4 linked regions of the Mus musculus genome follow. The main gene of each other region encodes a partner of the protein of the gene in region 4 in a complex. Links are inferred from orthologs where the notes say so. Each region holds a gene or a part of one and is shown on either strand. Other genes may lie near its edges.

What was found.
Region 1: Tmem126b (region 4) and Ecsit share a complex: the UniProt entries of both Homo sapiens proteins name them as parts of the mitochondrial complex. The link is inferred for Mus musculus from reciprocal best matches to the Homo sapiens genes TMEM126B and ECSIT.
Region 2: Tmem126b (region 4) and Acad9 share a complex: the UniProt entries of both Homo sapiens proteins name them as parts of the mitochondrial complex. The link is inferred for Mus musculus from reciprocal best matches to the Homo sapiens genes TMEM126B and ACAD9.
Region 3: Tmem126b (region 4) and Tmem186 share a complex: the UniProt entries of both Homo sapiens proteins name them as parts of the mitochondrial complex. The link is inferred for Mus musculus from reciprocal best matches to the Homo sapiens genes TMEM126B and TMEM186.

The regions. Positions count from the first base shown.
Region 1 is NC_000075.6:22,075,109-22,079,063, forward strand, and holds part of Ecsit (evolutionarily conserved signaling intermediate in Toll pathway, mitochondrial precursor), read right to left. Parts: intron 3,158-3,955; 5' UTR 3,136-3,157; coding exon 3,040-3,135; intron 1,538-3,039; coding exon 1,120-1,537; intron 976-1,119; exon of another isoform or gene 912-975; intron 1-911.
Region 2 is NC_000069.6:36,075,720-36,079,674, reverse strand, and holds part of Acad9 (complex I assembly factor ACAD9, mitochondrial), read right to left. Parts: intron 3,700-3,955; coding exon 3,621-3,699; intron 2,954-3,620; coding exon 2,779-2,953; intron 1,238-2,778; coding exon 1,164-1,237; intron 1-1,163. UniProt on the Homo sapiens protein: As part of the MCIA complex, primarily participates in the assembly of the mitochondrial complex I and therefore plays a role in oxidative phosphorylation.
Region 3 is NC_000082.6:8,634,597-8,639,333, forward strand, and holds the start of Tmem186 (transmembrane protein 186), read right to left. Parts: upstream 3,116-4,737; 5' UTR 2,893-3,115; coding exon 2,890-2,892; exon of another isoform or gene 2,706-2,889; intron 1,797-2,705; coding exon 1,149-1,796; 3' UTR 1-1,148. Other genes in the region: Pmm2 (phosphomannomutase 2), read left to right, coding at 3,179-3,232. UniProt on the Homo sapiens protein: As part of the MCIA complex, required for efficient assembly of the mitochondrial complex I.
Region 4 is NC_000073.6:90,472,909-90,477,553, forward strand, and holds the start of Tmem126b (complex I assembly factor TMEM126B, mitochondrial), read right to left. Parts: upstream 3,088-4,645; 5' UTR 3,068-3,087; coding exon 2,987-3,067; intron 1-2,986. Other genes in the region: Dlg2 (disks large homolog 2), read left to right, coding at 3,882-3,903. UniProt on the Homo sapiens protein: As part of the MCIA complex, involved in the assembly of the mitochondrial complex I. Participates in constructing the membrane arm of complex I.

The sequences.
Region 1 (3,955 bases), on a different chromosome or scaffold from region 4:
GGCACAGTTGAGTAGTGTGCTGGTCTGGCACATACGGTGGAAGGCTTGACTCCCAGCACCATATAAAAGGGGCACTGTTGCACATGCCTGAGATCCCAGCACTTGGAACAGTAGGCAAAAACCTGCCAAGGCCAGACATGGCTACCCAGCACAGCAAATTCAAGGGCAGCCTAGGCTACATGAGACCATGTAAAGTGTGTGTGTTGGGGAAAGAGGGCTGGAGAAAGAAATAGCTCAGCAATTAGGAGTATGCACTGCACCACTTTTAACTCGAATTCCAGGGCATCCACCACCCTTTTCTGGCCTCCTTGGGCACCAGAATTCACATACCCACTAACACATAGCATACATATAATTTTTCTAAAAAAGATTTATTATATTTATGTGAGTACATTGTACCTATCTCCAGACACACAAGAATAGGACATCAGATCCCATTATGGATGGTTGTGAACCACCATGTGAGTGCTAGGATTTGAACTCAGGACCTTTGGAAGAGCAGTCAGTGCTCTTAACTGCTGAGCCATCTCTCCAGCCATAGCATACATATAATTAAAAATAAATCATAAAAACAAAAAAACCAAAACCAAACCAACCAACCAACAACAAAAAACCCCAGAAACGGGCTGGTGAGATGGCTCAGTGGGTAAGAGCACCCGACTGTTCTTCAGAAGGTCCAAAGTTCAAATCCCAGCAACCACATGGTGGCTCACAACCATCTGTAACAAGATCTGACGCCCTCTTCTGGAGCGTCTGAAGACAGCTACAGTGTACTTACATATAATAAATAAATAAATCTTAAAAAAAAAAAAAAAAAAAAAAAAAGAATTCTTTAAAAAAAAAAAAAAAAAAACCCAGAACCATACGGAGTGAAGGATGAGCTTGAAGCCCTGTCTCCCCTCACTGCCTAGGAGCTGAGGTGACAGGGAAGCACCCGAGGTTTAGATACAGGGGATCAGCCTGGAGACATCCCAGGTAAGTCCTCCTCCAACTTTTCTACAGCCCAAGCCTAATAATTGGAAGAGGGAGGGGAGAGGGGAGGGGCAGGCGAAGGACTTGGGAGACTGAGAAAGGTGAGTGGAGAAGGATGCGAAGGAAGGCTGGGCCCACATTCCTCACCGTGTCGTTCCATCTGCTCCAGGACTGCGACCCCACATTCCTGCTGCCGTGGGTAGTGGACGAAGATGCGCTGGATAACGTTGCGGGGCCGGAAGACCTCCTTGGGGAAAACATCCAGCAGCAGGTTGTATACTGACAAGTCCCGCTCCACACCAAACTCTGGCATCTTGCGCAGTGCTAGGTAGATGAAGTCCACGTGGCCGCGCTTGCGCACATTGTGCGCCCCAAAGCTGCGCACTGCGTTCAGGAAGCTTGCCTTGTCCCGCTCCCTGTTTCCTGATGGCTTGAACGAGTCTTCATGCATTGCTGGAACCTTGATGGGCTTCCTCTGGGGCTCCGGGGGTCGAGGAACCAACCACGGCTCATCCTTGTGTGTAGCTGCACTACAGTGAAGGCCTCGTAGAGCCTGGAGGGACACCTGGGAGAAAGGATGGTGCCTGCTTTTTGTTTTCTGTTTCTTGGCAGAGGTACCCTGGACATCATGGAGGACCTTTTAGGCGCTTTGATACTGTTACTGCTAACCGTAGCTTAGATATCATGATATAGTACATTAAAGTACAATGCCACATGGTAGTACACACCTGAAATCCCAACCCCAAGGAAGCTAAGGCAGGAGAATTGAGAGCTCAATACTTGCTTGAGCCACACATACATGTTCTAAGGCCATATGAGATTACATATGGTGCATACACACGCATACACACACGCGAAGAAAACATCAAGAAGCATTGCCAGGACCACATTGTTGTGGTTTGAATGAGAATTTTCCCCACAGACCTGTCAAACTCTGCTTACAGCATTCACTTGCTTGGTTAGACCAAATTTCCAAAGTCTTCCACCTTCCCAAAATAACACAGTCAGGGTCTTTATAGCAACCACCCTATTTGTGGACACCAACTTCTGTACTAGTGCTTCCCTGTTACTGTGATGAAGTACCATGAGCTAATCTGGCAGTGTTGTATGGTACTGGCTTTGAAGGCAGGAAGGAAGCAAGAATCCTGAGAAGGTAGGAGGTCCCAGGATACCACTGCATCAATCTGTGAGAGTGAAGCTTGGGCTGCTGAGCAGACCTCAAGATGTTGGTGATGTCAGAGCTATGAGATGTCTGCCAAGGACAGCCGCACAGGGACTGGAGCCAGTCTGGGGTGGGGTATGGCTTAGGGCAGCTGAGCTAGAGGAGTGGGGCTGTCTGAGCACATTGGAGCTACAGGGCTTCCTGTTTGCACTGCTGGGTTTTCAGTCTTGTTTGGGGTTCAGTATTTCTTCATTTTGGCTTCATTCCTCCCTTTTGGAATGGAAGGATGGAATGTGTCATTCCCTGATGGAAGAGTGTGATTTACTTCTACGTAGAATGTCACAGTTGCGAGATTGCACGAGTCTCAGAATAGACTTTGGACTTTTAAATGGTATTGACACTGTGACAGACCATAGGAACATTAGAAATTGGATGAAATGCATTTTGCATCATGATAGTGTCAGGAGTCTATGTGGCCAGGAGAGAGGCAGATTGTCATGGTCTGAGTGAGAAATGTCCCTCAAAGGCTCTCGTATTTGAATACTTGGCCCAGCTGGTGGCAGTGCACAGGGAGGGTACAGAACCTTCAGGTTTATACCGGCTTCTCATTTACAGGTTGTTCTCCTTCCTACATGCTTGAGATGTGATCTCCAGTTTCTACTCTGGCCACAAACAGCCATAAGGGACTCTACCCTTGGAACTGTAAACCAAGACACTCTTTCTAATGTAAATTGCTTTTGGCCATGGTCATAGTACTTTAGTACTGCGATGGCAAGCTAACACAGGACCACAACTAGGACAGGCAGGACAAGGGCCACCTTCAGTTTCTGTGGCCTGATCCTGAGAGGGTGAGAGTAAAGCCAGGCCGTTCCCTCTCCACCCACAAATGCCCAGCCTGTGGTTACCTGAGCAAAGGGAGTTCCTGAAAGGGCAGGCCTGCAGAGGCCTCCCCAGCCCCTAGAGAGGCTTCGCACCAGCAAGTTGACCTGCACCCAGCTCATGTCTCTGTAGATTCAACCACACCTAGTTGAGAGGGATTGAGACAGCATTAGCCTGCAGCATACCTTCCATGAGACAGGGCGTCACTATGACAAAGAGCACAGTTCAGACAGAAGAGCCTAGTCCACCAAGCTCCAAGGGTTACTTCTGTCTGATTTTGTTATTTTCAAAAATAGAATATCATATTGCCCAGGTAGCCAAGGGTGGCCTTAAGCTCCTGATCCTCCTGCCTCTGTTTCCCCAGTGCTGAGACTACAGGTGTGAGCTATCATGCTTGGGAATCTTTCCACTATATTTACTGATTTAGTGTGCATGTGTGTGTGTGTGTGAGCGTGCACATGTGTGCATGCACATGCATGTATGCGTGTGCGTGCCCTTGTGTGGAGGTCTGAGGATAGCTTGGAGAACTGGTTCTCTCTTCCATGTGGGTCTCAGCATAGAGCTTGGTTTCTAGGCTTCAGCAAGCACCTTCATACAGTAATCATTCCACTGCCTCATACCTGGGAGTTTTTCTTCTTCATTTTTTTTTAAAGATCTATTTATTATTATATGTAAGTACACTGTAGCTATCTTCAGACTCTCCAGAAGAGGAAGTCAGATCTCGTTATGGATGGTTATGAGCCACCATGTGGTTGCTGAGGTTTGAACTCAGGACCTTCAGAAGAGCACTCAGTGTTCTTACCCACTGAGCCATCTCTCCAGCCTCTTCATTTTTTTTTTTTTTTTGAAAGACTTGCCTGTTTATTTTGTGTGTATACTCAGGTTCACATGCTACAATACTTTTGTGCAGGCCAGAGGACAACTTTTCAGTAGTCTTCTCCC
Region 2 (3,955 bases), on a different chromosome or scaffold from region 4:
ACAGGAACACAGCTCCAGCTGCAAGCTGTGCTACCTCATCCCGAGTCACATGGGTTCTCCTCACCTCCAGAGAGCCCAACTAAAGAAACCGAGGGAAGCCTCAGGCTTAATTTTAAACACAGACAGCTTCCAAGTGTTAGTGAAGATGTAGAACTTCATACACTATAACCACTATGGAAAAAGTTCTTCAAGAAAGTGCCATTCTATTACAGGCTAGCAATTCTATTACTACATTTACACTCAAAGGGCTTGAGAACATATTTCTCAAACAAAAATTTGAGGATGAAAGTTCACAACTCTGTTACTGACACTAGCCCCAAAGTAACAATTTAGCTTAATGAGTACGTGGTTTACCCACACAGGAGAACATCATCTACCCATTCAAAAGAATGAAATACTGAGTGACAGAGATGTGTTTAAGTTAAATGTCATGTAAACTATTTCTCCATAACATATAAAGATGGGGCTGGAAAGATGGCTCAGCGGTTACGGCCACCTGCGCTCTTACAGAGCACTTAGGCTGTTCCTCGCTCCCACGGAGGCTCACGAACAGCCTGTAACTCCAGCTCCAGAGGATCAGAAGCCTTCTCTGGCCTCTGCGGGTACCAGGCACACATGCAATTCACACACATAAATTGAGACACCTATGCATATACGTAAAGTAGAGAGAAATGAATCTGGCTGATTAGGGTGGCATATGCGCTTAATCCCAGGCTTGGGGCGTGAGGGGCAGGTGAGTCCTTGGCCAGTGCGGTCTACATAGTGAGTGCCAGGCTCGTCAGAGCTACTTGGTGAGACTCTATTCTGCCCAGAAAAAATGAATCTTTAAAATATAAAGCTGACTATTAGGGCAGAGACTTACGTTAAGGGTTCTTGAAACCTGAACTTCTCAAGCCCACTAGCCTGTTTTTCACACTTGCTAGAGAGAGGAACCCCATTCCTCGATCAAGATGAAGGAGATCTCCAAGGGGAATAAAGACTCCTCATCCTAACCAGACTCCCTCCTCTAAGAGCAAGCCATTTTTTCAGCCTTTGTGTTGCTGAATTCCTATGCCCAAGAGCTACACAAGGCCACAGGCTAGCCTGCTAGGAAAAAGGTCAGGGCAGAACATGAGACTCTTGTGAAACAGCACAGCACTTACATGGGACTGCCTGCAACTTACCTTAAAGCCCCCTCCAACTTCTCCAAGGACATTTTCCACAGGCACTCTGGTATTTTCAAAATGGACCTCACATGCTAAAACAACAGGAATTGAAAGAGCGTGACAAACAAATTCAAACTGCTCTGCTCTTGACCACAGGCCCGTGGCTGACTGGCTAATGCACTCATTTAGCATCCTAAAGAACAGTGAAGATAGACCACGTTCCTGCCACCACAGACACGAGGACATGTCAGCATGGTCAGTACTATGATGAAATATCAGCTCAGTACAGAGAAGGATGGAGCTGAAGGGGGCTGCCATCTTTTGAAAGTCCATGACAGACTCTTCTAAGGTAACATGTAACAGTAGCTGAAAGGAACAAAATAGCCAAAAAACCAGGAAAGCAAGGGAGAGCACCAGCAGTGCCTCAGCCCTTAGAATAAATGGGATTCTTATTAACAGAGTCACACTCATGTTCCATAGAGCAGCATCTTCCCAGCTTAGGGTAGGGAGTTAACAGACGGAATGTAGACGACCCGACGTGTACAGACACACAACCTAACCCAATTCACCAACATCCTTCAGACTGAAGCAGGCATCCCCAAACCATAAGAAATAAGATTCCACTGCTGCAAGCTAAATCCTACTGTGTCTGACTGACAGGGACACTGTAGCCAGAGACCACCAGCAATCCTGTAAGAAAGGCTGACTCTATTGGTCAGTGTGCGTTAAACAATGAGAAAGCAAGGTGCCTAGGACTAGGCAGGGGCTGAACAGTTCCCTTTGCACAGCATTCCCTCTAGCACTGCCTGGATATTCTAATGCACAAACAATGCAAGTCCTGGCATGCTGAACCAGAGACACTCAAGATGAGGAAGGTTAGGGTTCAAGAGACACTAGGGCCAAGTGTGATACCTGTCGAGGTGGAATGCCATGAAACATGATCTGTCTGCTGGTCATATTTAGGGGTTGGGTATGTGGGCTAGAGGACCCAGTCACTCTTTCAAAGTGTACTGGGTATGGGGCACACCTGCCTTCCTCTTTGACTTCATCTCATATTCATGAGCCATCTTTTGGGGTCTGCATGCTGCTGGGCCTCCATCCTCCCAGTTGTCAGCAGGTAAATGACGCTGCTGAACGAGCTGCAGAAACGCAGGCTGCACAGCTGTGGGCCTGACATGCCACTTTATACCAAGAGACTAGTTAGTATAAGAACACTATGGCCGGCCAGATGGGTGAGCTTAGGAAACAAACAGGACACCAGCTTCCACTGAAGCAAGGGCTGACCAAGGGATGAAAGGTGGATCTGGACAGTAGGAAGAAAGGAAAAGGATTCTAGGAAAGAAAGATGTGGTGGCCTGCCACAGGATGTGTGCCCAAGACAGCTGCAGTTGTGTGACATGCATGCCTGCCCCTACTGAGGCTGGGATTTCAGCTGCCCTCACTCACCTAGGGTCAACAGTGCCAACTGTACCAAGCAGCACAGGTTGTGGCTGCACTCTTAATTTGATGTTGCTAATTGCTAAACTAAACCCATGAGCAATGAGGTGCCCTTTCACCTTCGTAGGTCACAGGGACAGGGCCTGTCTTTCAAGTCTCTGCCGCACTCATACAGAAGCACGTCTGCCACACTTACTGTTGGAGCCTCGAATGCCTAATTTATCTTCAGGTTTCCCATTAGTGATTCCGCCGAAGTCTCTTTCTACTATGAATGCGGTCATTTTGTCTGTTTTCGAACCATCAGAATCGACCACCTCGGTTTTTGCAAACACAGTAAAAATATTGGCCAGTCCTCCATTGGTGATCCAAACCTGAAGAAAAACAACGATCCTTGGAGACCCCTCAGCTCTATCCAACACTAAGTTTCAGGCCGCCAGACACACAGACTTCATACACTGTACTTATCAACTGAACAAGTGAAATGGGGGATGAGGAAAAAGAAAGGGTGCTCAAAAATCACAATGGATGGGAATTCATTTACTTTTTGATTCAAGCAAAACAAAGTGATCAAGGGCAGAGGGTAGGCGGTGAGCAGGGAAAGCTGAAGGCTAACTAGATAAGGAGCTATTACTATCCTCTGTCCCATTTGCTAATGGTGCTCTATCTTTAAGCAATCCTTGATTAAATCTCAGATAGCACACAGAGGTGGTGAAGACAACAGAAACACGACCAGCCGTGAGCCATGCAAGTGCACTGCACTATACTTTGCCTCTTTGAAATCTTGTGGACTAGAGATTGAAAATAAACACACAGAGGCAGCTGTGTGCAGAATCGAGGAGACTGCGGATAAGACCACCTTGCTCCAATACTGCCTTTGCCACTTGAGGGACTTGGGCTAGCCACTCCGCTCTGCCTCAGGCTGTTCTGAGAAAGAAGTGCCACACACCGTGGGTGACGTGCAGATCTCTTGGTGTCTGGTGTGCAGAAGGAAGACACAGAGGCGGGAAAGACTGAGAGGGCAAGAAGGCATGGCTGTACCTTGGAGCCATTGAGTATGAAGTACTTCTTATCTTCACTTAACGTAGCTCTGGTCTGGATGGACGCAGCATCACTCCCACTGCAAAGATGGAAAGACAGGATTGAGGGAAAGCAATACTGAAGAAGGCTTAGAATTGGTCTGAGGGCTTGGACAGAAGATAGCCCTTAAATACCAAGGTAGACAAAAACAGGTTTGTTCATTTCAACTCTGATGCTCAAACTAGGAAGTGGTCTGATTCTGGAAGCAGCCGGCACATCCAGTAAAAGGAGTAAGATTTGCGTGGGTATGAACTCCCTAAAGCTTATCAAGAGATTCTGGGTGTGATTAGGCCTGT
Region 3 (4,737 bases), on a different chromosome or scaffold from region 4:
ACCCACAAGACCCAAATGCTAAAAGGAACGCAACTTGGAAAAGTTGTCCTCCAATCTCCTTATATGCACAGTGATAAACACACAAATAATTAAAAGAAAAATTCTTAAAGGAAAGAAATTACTAAAAAGCTACAAAGCAAAGCATTCTGGTAGACAAATTACAAAAATCACGACTGCTTTCCTTTTAATGCAGGTACAATTACCTAATAAGCAAGTGTTTGCTGTTATTATGAAAAGCATATGCACTGTCCTTTAGATGATGAATTTTTGCTTGGACACAGTCCCTCTGCTGCGATGACACTACAAAGCTCTCAAGTGTGAGCACCCCCGGACCTCCTAGGGATCAATGTAGTCTCAGGGGTGCTGTCCCTACCTCTGTTGGTGTACAGTGACTTGCTGATGGGAAAAAATAAGTTCACTCTGGGCTTTAGCCATGGCCGTCCAGCTGGTGAGCATGAGTAAGTGCTGGGCCCCATTGGCACCCTAGAAGCCTTGCTCTATGTTGTAAGCTCTGGGCTGTGTACCTTATACAGCACTCAGTATTCACTGGTTTTGCCTGTTCTGTGGTGCTGGGGATGGAACTTAGGACCTTATACATGCTAGGCAAGAGCTCTGTCACAAAGTCCTAGCCATACCCGTTCCCATGAGAAGGGTTTTCCATCTCACAATGCAATTCAAGGTTCAGAAACTTGTCAAGGAGCTAAGGCTCAGCAGAACCCAAGTCCCCAGACCCCACATCCTGTGCTCCTCTGCCAACCCTCCTGCCTCCCAGCTTTACAGCAGCGGTCTGCCTTAGTGACCTTGGCATAGCACTCCTCCAACAACTGCCTCTTCACAGAAACTTCTCGCCACTATATGATGGGATGTCCTATGTTCCACTAAGGGCTTTTTCCTAAAGCTTCCTTTTTGGGCCAAAACAACCTTGAACTTTTTCTCCACCTGCCTGTGTCACCAGTTCTGAGTACAGGCAGGCATAGCCATGCCTTGTTCTATGCAGTGCTAGGGTCTGAACCCAGGGCTTCACATCCTGCACACTAAACAAGCATTCTACAAAGTGAGCACCAGCCCAGTCCCTGGTATTAGCTTTGTCTCATCCATGTCCTAGGCCTTCTGTCTAAAATCCAAGTGTAACGAGGGCTATGAGAGGCCTACTTGCTGTTCTTCAGTGTGGCCAGAGTTCCGAACACTTGTGCGAACCGTTCCCTGTCCAGGATTCGGCCATAGCGTAAGGTGAGGTAGAAGGTCTGCTTGCCACTGTACTGCTGGATGCGTACAAACACATCCTGAACCCGTTCCTGGGATTCTGACAGGGGTATCATGTCTGACACGGCACAGTACGTGTCCTGCCGCCAGCCCCAGAAGGTCAGGTGGGCCACTCGGAGCAGGGTGCCCGACTCGTTCACATACAGGATGCCCACCAGTCTCCGGAAGAAGTGGCTCATCCAACAGAGCATGGCCAGGGCAAAGCTGGCGACCCCACCCAGAAGGCACAGTGAACTGAGGGTCATGAGGCCTTGTGAGTAGCAATAGAAGCCCGGGGGCAGGGCCACCACAGTCACAGCTGTCTGGGCCAACTTCAGCCGCGAGAGGAACCCAATTGCTCGGATGGCTCGGAACCGGTAGATTGTATGGAATGTTTCGGTCTCGGTGCCTGGTGACTTCTCCCGTGAGTGGGGAGACCTGCTCCCCACCCACCTTTTGGAATCCCCCTGCCCAGAGCAGCACCATAGTCCCTGTAGAGGCCTCCTCCATGCAGTGGGCCCCTGCAACCTTGGCACGACTCGAAGGAGGAAAGCCTGGAAGAGAGAGGTTCATTTCAGAAGTCACCCATGCTAATCACACAATGAACAAGACAAAGCATCTCCCAGAAGGGCTTCAACCGCTCCTGGAAAGTCACCATGACTTCCAGAGGAAAGTGATAAAGCCAGACACTTAATTTTTTTTTTTTTTTGGTGGAATTCTATTCTAAATAGGTACCTTCTCCCATTTTTACAACTAAACAAACAAAACCCTAGTCGCAGTTAGTGAGATAGCCCATCTAGTACAGGTGCTTGGTACCAAACCGGGTAACTTGAATTTGATCCCTCAGGCCAACACGGTGAAGGAAGAGAAATTACTCACGCAGTACGTCCTGGAGCCCCGTATGCCAAAGCACAAGCATATGCACACAAACTAAACACACAAGATTAAAACAAAACAACAAAAACATTTTTAAGAACCTAAGCCCTCCCCCACCCCACCTCACAGCCCCAAGTACAGGGAAACACGGGCAGTCTGGAGCTCGGACGGGCCCTTCCTCCTAGGCAGGTCTAAATGAACATAGAAAACCTGTCGTTTCAGCTATTCACTAGAGACCGGGCAACAGCGGACTTGAAGGACCGCCCTTCCTTAAGGGGTAAATCAATCGGTGTCAGAACCCCACACAACAAAGCCGTGGGGTACTTATCACAGGACCTCTGCAGTTCTCCGAGTGCCTTGCGCGGCCAGAGAACCTCTTTGTATCATTAACCTGTCTGGGAAGGAAGCAGAGACGTGAGGCACGGAGGCCCTCAACACACTGCCTGTGGTTCTCTGGAGTGAGCAGATTCTGGGCTTTGGAGTCAAGAGGACACTAGCTGTGCATCCTTCTTCACCCTTCCAAAGAAAACCTCAGAATACGCTGAGGGAGACACGGCTCTTAAGCTCTGAACCGGGTGTGTACGTACGAAGTGGCAGCGACGCAGACCGTCCACGTGACCCAAGGGCCCGGGACAAAGCAGGAAAACAGCCCAAGCTAATAGACTCTGGCCTTCCACTGGCCGGTTTCCCGAATGGTCAGCCCAGGCGTCCTGCCTGCCAGTCCTAGACCCGACCGGGGACGGGGAGCGCGTTCCCTCCTGACATTCCTACCATGAGCCCGCCGCCTGCTACAGGACGCACGCTGTACTTGTCACCGGAAAGTTGAAGGGCGCATGCGCGGGCGGTTAAAAACCCGCATGCGCTAATTCAAAAAAAAAAAAAAAAATTACTATGGCTTGGGAACTGTAGTTCAAATTTTGTAACCGCCACCGGTGTTCTGTGAACCATTAGGGAATCTTCCCATGGTGCCTTGGAACTCCAGGGCTCGGAGCGGACCCGGAAGTTCCGGGTAGAGTTCCGGGTAGAGTTCCTGGTGCGGTCGAGGTTTCTGACTGGAGAAATGGCCACTCTCTGTCTCTTCGACATGGATGGGACCCTGACTGCCCCGCGGCAGGTAGGCGGCGCCCGGGAGGCTCGCGGTGGTGGAGCAGAGCCCTTGCTGCCCTAGACCGCGGTAACGACTGTCCGGGAACCAGGAGACGCGAGTCCTGAGCGGGGTCCTGAGTGGGGTGCGCAGGGAGGGGGCCCCCAAAAAACCTTCCGAGTAGGAAACGTGTTCAGAGTCTGAAAGTTCGGGCCTGAGTTTCTTCTCGGGCCCTCGGGGCTGGTGACCTGGCTTGAACTCCAGCCTCGGCCCTCTGACCTGCTGTTTCGCCTCCCCAGCCCTGTCACCTTTGGCTGTCTCTTCTAATATACCAAAGGCAGGTTCTCAGTCGTCTGACCTTCAGCAAATCTTTCTCGGAGCCCTTGAAGCCACTTTAACTGGGGCATTGCCTGTTGCTTGGGATGTTTTGGTGAGGATCACTGAAATTCATGACAGTTCCTCGCCAGATCAGGCCTCAAAAGTGAGCCCCTGCAGCAATGGGGACCCAGGTAGTAATAGGCTGTTTGCTGAAAGGATCAAGGATCCAATGGGACTTTGTTCCGCTAACAGATTTTGCTGTTAGGGCCAAAGATAAGTTTGTGTGGTTTCGTTGTGGTGATGACATTCTTTCTGCCTCCTATACACAAATTCGTGGTTGAGCAGAAATCACTCAAACTTGACACTGGGCTTAAATAGCTTGGGTGTCTCTGCCCCACTCCTTTTAGATTTCGTGGACTGTTCCAGAAGCCCATGTTAAGTGTGTGTAACCTTAGATATGTGAGTCTTATCTTTTTAATTTTTTTATTCCTTTGCAATTACATGTGTACAGTGTATCTGATCATATTCACCCCCAACCTTCCTGTGCTCCCTCTGGGGAACACCTACTCACACATCCCTCTTCCATTTTCATGTCCTTTTTAAAATTCTTATTTTAATACCTCACTAAGTCCAGTTAGTGCTACACACTAACACACCCCAAGTGATGGGCAACATATCACCCATGCTGGAATGTTAACTGACTTGATCTTGTGCAGGGAACCACAGTTGCTGAATTCATGCAGGCAACAGCCATATAATGTCCAGAAGACAGCATTTCATTCGCCACGCTCCTCCCCGTCCTCTGGCTCTTACATTCTTTCTGTCCCCTGAGCCTGGACAGGGTTGATAAAGGGCACTTATTCTTAGCACTTTGTCCAGGTATGCGTCTGCATTGACCACTGCCACTACAAAGAGAAACTTTTCTTACCAGGCTTGAGAGTGGCATTAATCTATGGATATAAACATAAATATTTAGAAGGCAATTTGACAAGATTTCCATTTAACAAAAAGAACACTAGTAGGTTTCCCCATAGTGCCTGTGAGCTCCTGAGTCATAGCTTTTGACCAAGTACTTTACCAGGCTGTGGAATAGATCTTTGTGTTTTGTTTTTTTCGAGACAGGGTTTCTCTGTATAGTCCTGGCTGTCCTGGAACTCACTCTGTAGACCAGGCTGGCCTCGAACTCAGAAATCCGCCTGTCTCTGCCTCCCGAGTGC
Region 4 (4,645 bases):
GGGTGTTTTCTGTTTTGTTTTGTTTTGTTTTTGAGTTACATAAAAATTGGGAAAATGACTATTTCTGTGCTTACATATGTGGTGGTTTGAGGAAGAATGGCCCCCCCATAGGCTCATATATTTGGATGCTTAGTTATCAGGGAGGAGCACTGGCATTATATGGGGATTTAGAAGGATTGGGAGTTGTGGCTTTGTCTGAGGAAGTATTTCACTGAGCATCCATGGCCTTTGAGATTCAAAAACCTATGCCAGGTCAGGTGCTTCTCTGTCTCTTTGTCTGTCTGTCTGTCAATCTGCCTGCCTCTGCTGCCTGTGGATCAGGATATACTGTTTCAGTTCCAGGGCTGTTAAAATGATAATGGACTAACCCTGTGAAGCTATGAGCAAGTCTTGAACTAAATGTTCTCTATTATAAGAGTTGCTGTGGTCATGGCGTCTTTTCACAGCATTAGAACAATGATTAAGACAATAGATTAGAAAACTGAGTTTCAGAAAGCTTGTCTTGCTACTGAGATAGTGATTTTGTTTTCGTTCAGCATAGCTTCCTCTGTTCATTCCAAGAGTAGAAGGCCCAGCTTTTTTAATCCTCTTGAAGTAACAGCAGAAATAATACCTGCATGTTGACAAAGATCTATCTTTGTCTTAGGGTTTTATTCCTGTGTAGCAAAACCACGACCTAGGCAACTCTTAACAGAAAAAAACATTTAATTGGGGCTGGCTTTCAGTTTCAGAGGTTTAGTGCTGACTGACAGCTTCAGAGGCATTATCATCATGGAGGTAAGTAAACACGGTGGGGTGTAGGCAGGCTTGATCTGAAGACAGCAGGAGACTGTGTGTTTAGCTTGAGCACAGGAAGCCTCAAAGCCCCCCCCCCCCCCCACAAGTGACAAACTTCCTCCAACAACACCACACCTTCTAATATTGCTACTCCCTATGAGCAAAGCATTCAAACATGCAAGTCTATGGGTTCCATTCCTATTCAAACCACCACACTTGTCTTCTCTCATGAAAGCCTAAGCCAGTTTGGGAGATTATTTTGGGGCTAAGGGAAGGTAGGAGAGAACAGAAAGTGCTTTAGAAAGTGGAGAAACAACAACAACAACAACAACAACAACAAGTCAGAGTTGGGTACTGTTCCAGCCTGGGAAGAGGGAGTGCACCATAGTTATCTTGGACTTTATGTTGCAATTCAGTTTTCTAGTAGGGCCTAGGGTAGAAAGCAGGCAGGGTCTTTGTCAGAAATAGCTATGGGTTATACTGTGAAGCCTGGACAAAGGGAATGAACTCAGGGTTTGTAAGGTCTCTGTGTCCCATGTGATAAGCCAATAGTTGCCCACATTAAGAACCATAAGAGTTTCACCAAGAGATTAGAAAATCCATTCCAGATTCCTTTTTGAGTTTCTGGCTATACATAAGACTTTTGGGTCTCTGGAAACACTTGTTAAATCCTTTGGTACTATGACATTTTATGTATCTTACGAGTATTCCATTTCATTCAAACAAAGATATATGGACACTTCCTACAAATCCAAAATTCTGGTTTTAAATATTTACTTATTTCATCAGTGAGATGTCTACTGATTCAAAGTTCAGTGCTTTTTATTTTTTGCTCTACATTTTCTAGATTAATCCATGAGAAGTTATAAAGTCAAAGGTTCATTACAGATGACATGCTAACATTTATAAGTGATGAGCATATAATAAGCCTAAAATTAATGAAAAAAAAAATGGAGCCTGACTCCAGGAAATCAACACACACAAAGAATGGGTTCCTTGATCTTCTTAAGGTGGTATACAATTGATCAAAAGACCAGTATTTCTGCCTTAATACAACACAGCATTTAAGTCAGTTCTTTAAGATAGCTGAGAAGGGGGGTGGGCAGAGCAGGCATAAAATACTTTACAAATTATATTTTTTTGGGGGGGACTAGACTTACATCTTTTGCTCCCCCCTCCTTCTGCTATCCAAATGGAAAAATGGAAGAAGAAATAGTATTTTCTAAGGAGGATTCTCTAACCAATCCATCTAGTGTACGATGAAGGCAGATATTAATAGCATCATGGCTAATCAAAAAAACGTAGAGAAATTTTTGTTCTGTTCTCATCCAATTCCCTGAACAGCCCTCTTCACCACCCACAGAAAATTTCCAGGCCTTTAAGACAGCTTTGGGGAAAAGGGTACCCACAATTATGGCTGCAGGACAGTCAATATTGAAATAATCAAAAGCAACAGCAAATATTTTTGGCATCTGGCATTTGCAAGGGTTTCACTACACTCTCCTTAATTAAGGAGATATAGATTATTAACTTGCCCAGAGTTTTTTGTTTTGTTTTGTTTTAACTTATTTTTGTGCTGTTGGTATAGACGCCTGGGCTTCAGGCCTGACAAGTGCTCCATCATCAGATTCCAAGGAAGTCTTTCAGCAAGAACTGAAAATGAAGATTTTTGCCACAACCAACGTTTAATCTGAGAGTTAAGGAAGTTCAAAGTCACTCAACTGATTAGATCACCATCCTTATACACGTTAAGTGCATTTGTGTGGGCGTATGGCCTGCAAAGTGTGTGTGTGTTGTATCTTTAAGTGTATTATTTGACCTTCAGAATTTTATTCAACATGATTTGTCCAGCCGTGGTGGATATTAGGTTCTCGGGTAATCAAAAAAGTGAATGCATTCAAGAAGCCATCATAACCTTGCGTTAAGTCAGAACACATCAAATCAATAAAATGCAGGAGACTTAAACAGAATGAGAGAACTGGAGGTCGGGCCGGGTGGGGTAAGGCGATAAAGTATTTGTAATTGAAGAAAGGTCCTCGAGAAAGAGAAACAAGCTGCATTTAATCGGCGTAGACTTCAGGTCTACGCTGTTCGGAACTAGAGATTTGATTACACTCTACATAAAGTCGGGTTCGGTTCTATTTGCTCAAATCCTTCACGTGCATCATCTCCGAGGAGGCGACCCACACCACCCTAGATTTCCGCCTACCTGGGGTGCTTCCCTATTTCCCTCCTGCACAACACCAGCAACCTTCGACTCGGACCAACTTGGTCGCTGGGACGCCGCCATCTTAGCGCCTCACGTGACTGACAGGAGGGCGTGGCCGGAGCGCCTGGGGCGGGACTTGCAGCTGTCTGACAGCTCGTACCTTTAGTCCGGTACTCCCCCACCCAGTCAAAAGCCGCGCCCTCCAGCCGGGCGGAGGTTGGGCGTGGCGTCGCAGAAGTGCGATCTCTCATTGGCTCCGAGGAAGGCTCAGGGTCAGGGGCCCGCCCCTAGCCAGCCTTGCCTTGTCCTCTGCCAAATTGTCAGCCTGGCCAACCTGAAGGGAACCAGGGGCGGTTCGGGCGCAGGCCTGTTGCTGCGCGCCTTCTTCTCAGGGCGGCTGGGGTAACCGAGCCCTGGTAGTTCCTTCGGCCCGGTCGGTGTGTTAAGGCTGTGGTTTCTAAGGTTCCTCCTCAGAGCCTCCAGCCCGTCTCCCCGGCGCGGCCACAGCAGCACGGGCTAGCCTGCTCTCTACAGTCTTCAGTCCCCATAGTCCACCCTCAAGCCCCGCTTGGAAAGGGTTCAGTTAGAAATATCCCTTTTCCCTGCTCCCCCGAAGAGCCCTGGTCGGCCAGTGTTTTAGGGGTGGATGGTGCTGCGAGGAGGCCAGGCGCGCTTCCGTGCACGTGAAATGCCCAGCAGCGTCTGCCAGACCCGCAACCCCCGACCCTCCAGTCTCCATGTCTTAGGCAAGCCAAATTCGAGAGTTATATAATTTCTAGTGCTGCTGTTTCTCTTGCCCGAGGAAACACTTCATCGCTTGGAGGGTGCAGGACATTTCGGTGCTCTTCTGTATAAGATCGGGGTGTGGGCAGGGGTGGCCAGCGGTGGCAGAGAAATGTCTTTTCTGCAAAAGGAAGGTGGGTAGATTGGAGAGAGACTGAGAAAGGGTGGATGTGGAAGCCAAACAGCTGCACTCTCATTTAGGAAATCGCGGACTATTTGCATAGTGTGTGATTGCATGCCTAATACTACTACAGCGTCTCTGAAAACACCTTTTGGGGAAGGTTTGGTTTCTCCTTTCCAGCAGCCTCAGTGTTTTTCTTCGCCGGATAGGAAGCTGCTTGTTTGCGAAGAGATGGCATGATGTGAATGACTCCAGTGTGAAGAAGTCTGCTTCGCCAAATCATCCTGCATCAAGTGCCCATTGAATAGCACTGTCACTTTAATGTCTCCATGCCAAGGGATTGCCTTCCTTCTTTTCAATCCTCTCAGTTAATACACAGGAGGATCAGGATCTGAGGGGCATTAAGGATCAAGCCTTGGGGGCTTGGAGACCACAGAAGAAAAATAGGAAAGTGACAAGCTGGATAGTGTTTTACTGAGGGGCGAGAAACAGAACCAGTAAATAGAAGGGGGCCTTTGAATCTCTCTTTTGCCCCCAGAAAACTGTCCAAACTCACACACCCCTGAAAAGACTAGAGTAAGACGTTTTTAAAAGTGTTTTTGAAGGGGAAGTTTAAACTTTTTCCTAAAAATTGATGCTCTTTATTACGAACCATGTCGAACATGTATAAATTAATAAGTCAACCGTCCTAAAATTGGTTTGTGCCTTAATTGAGTTAGTTATTGAACATCTAAAAGTGTTGCTGCCTGAAGAGG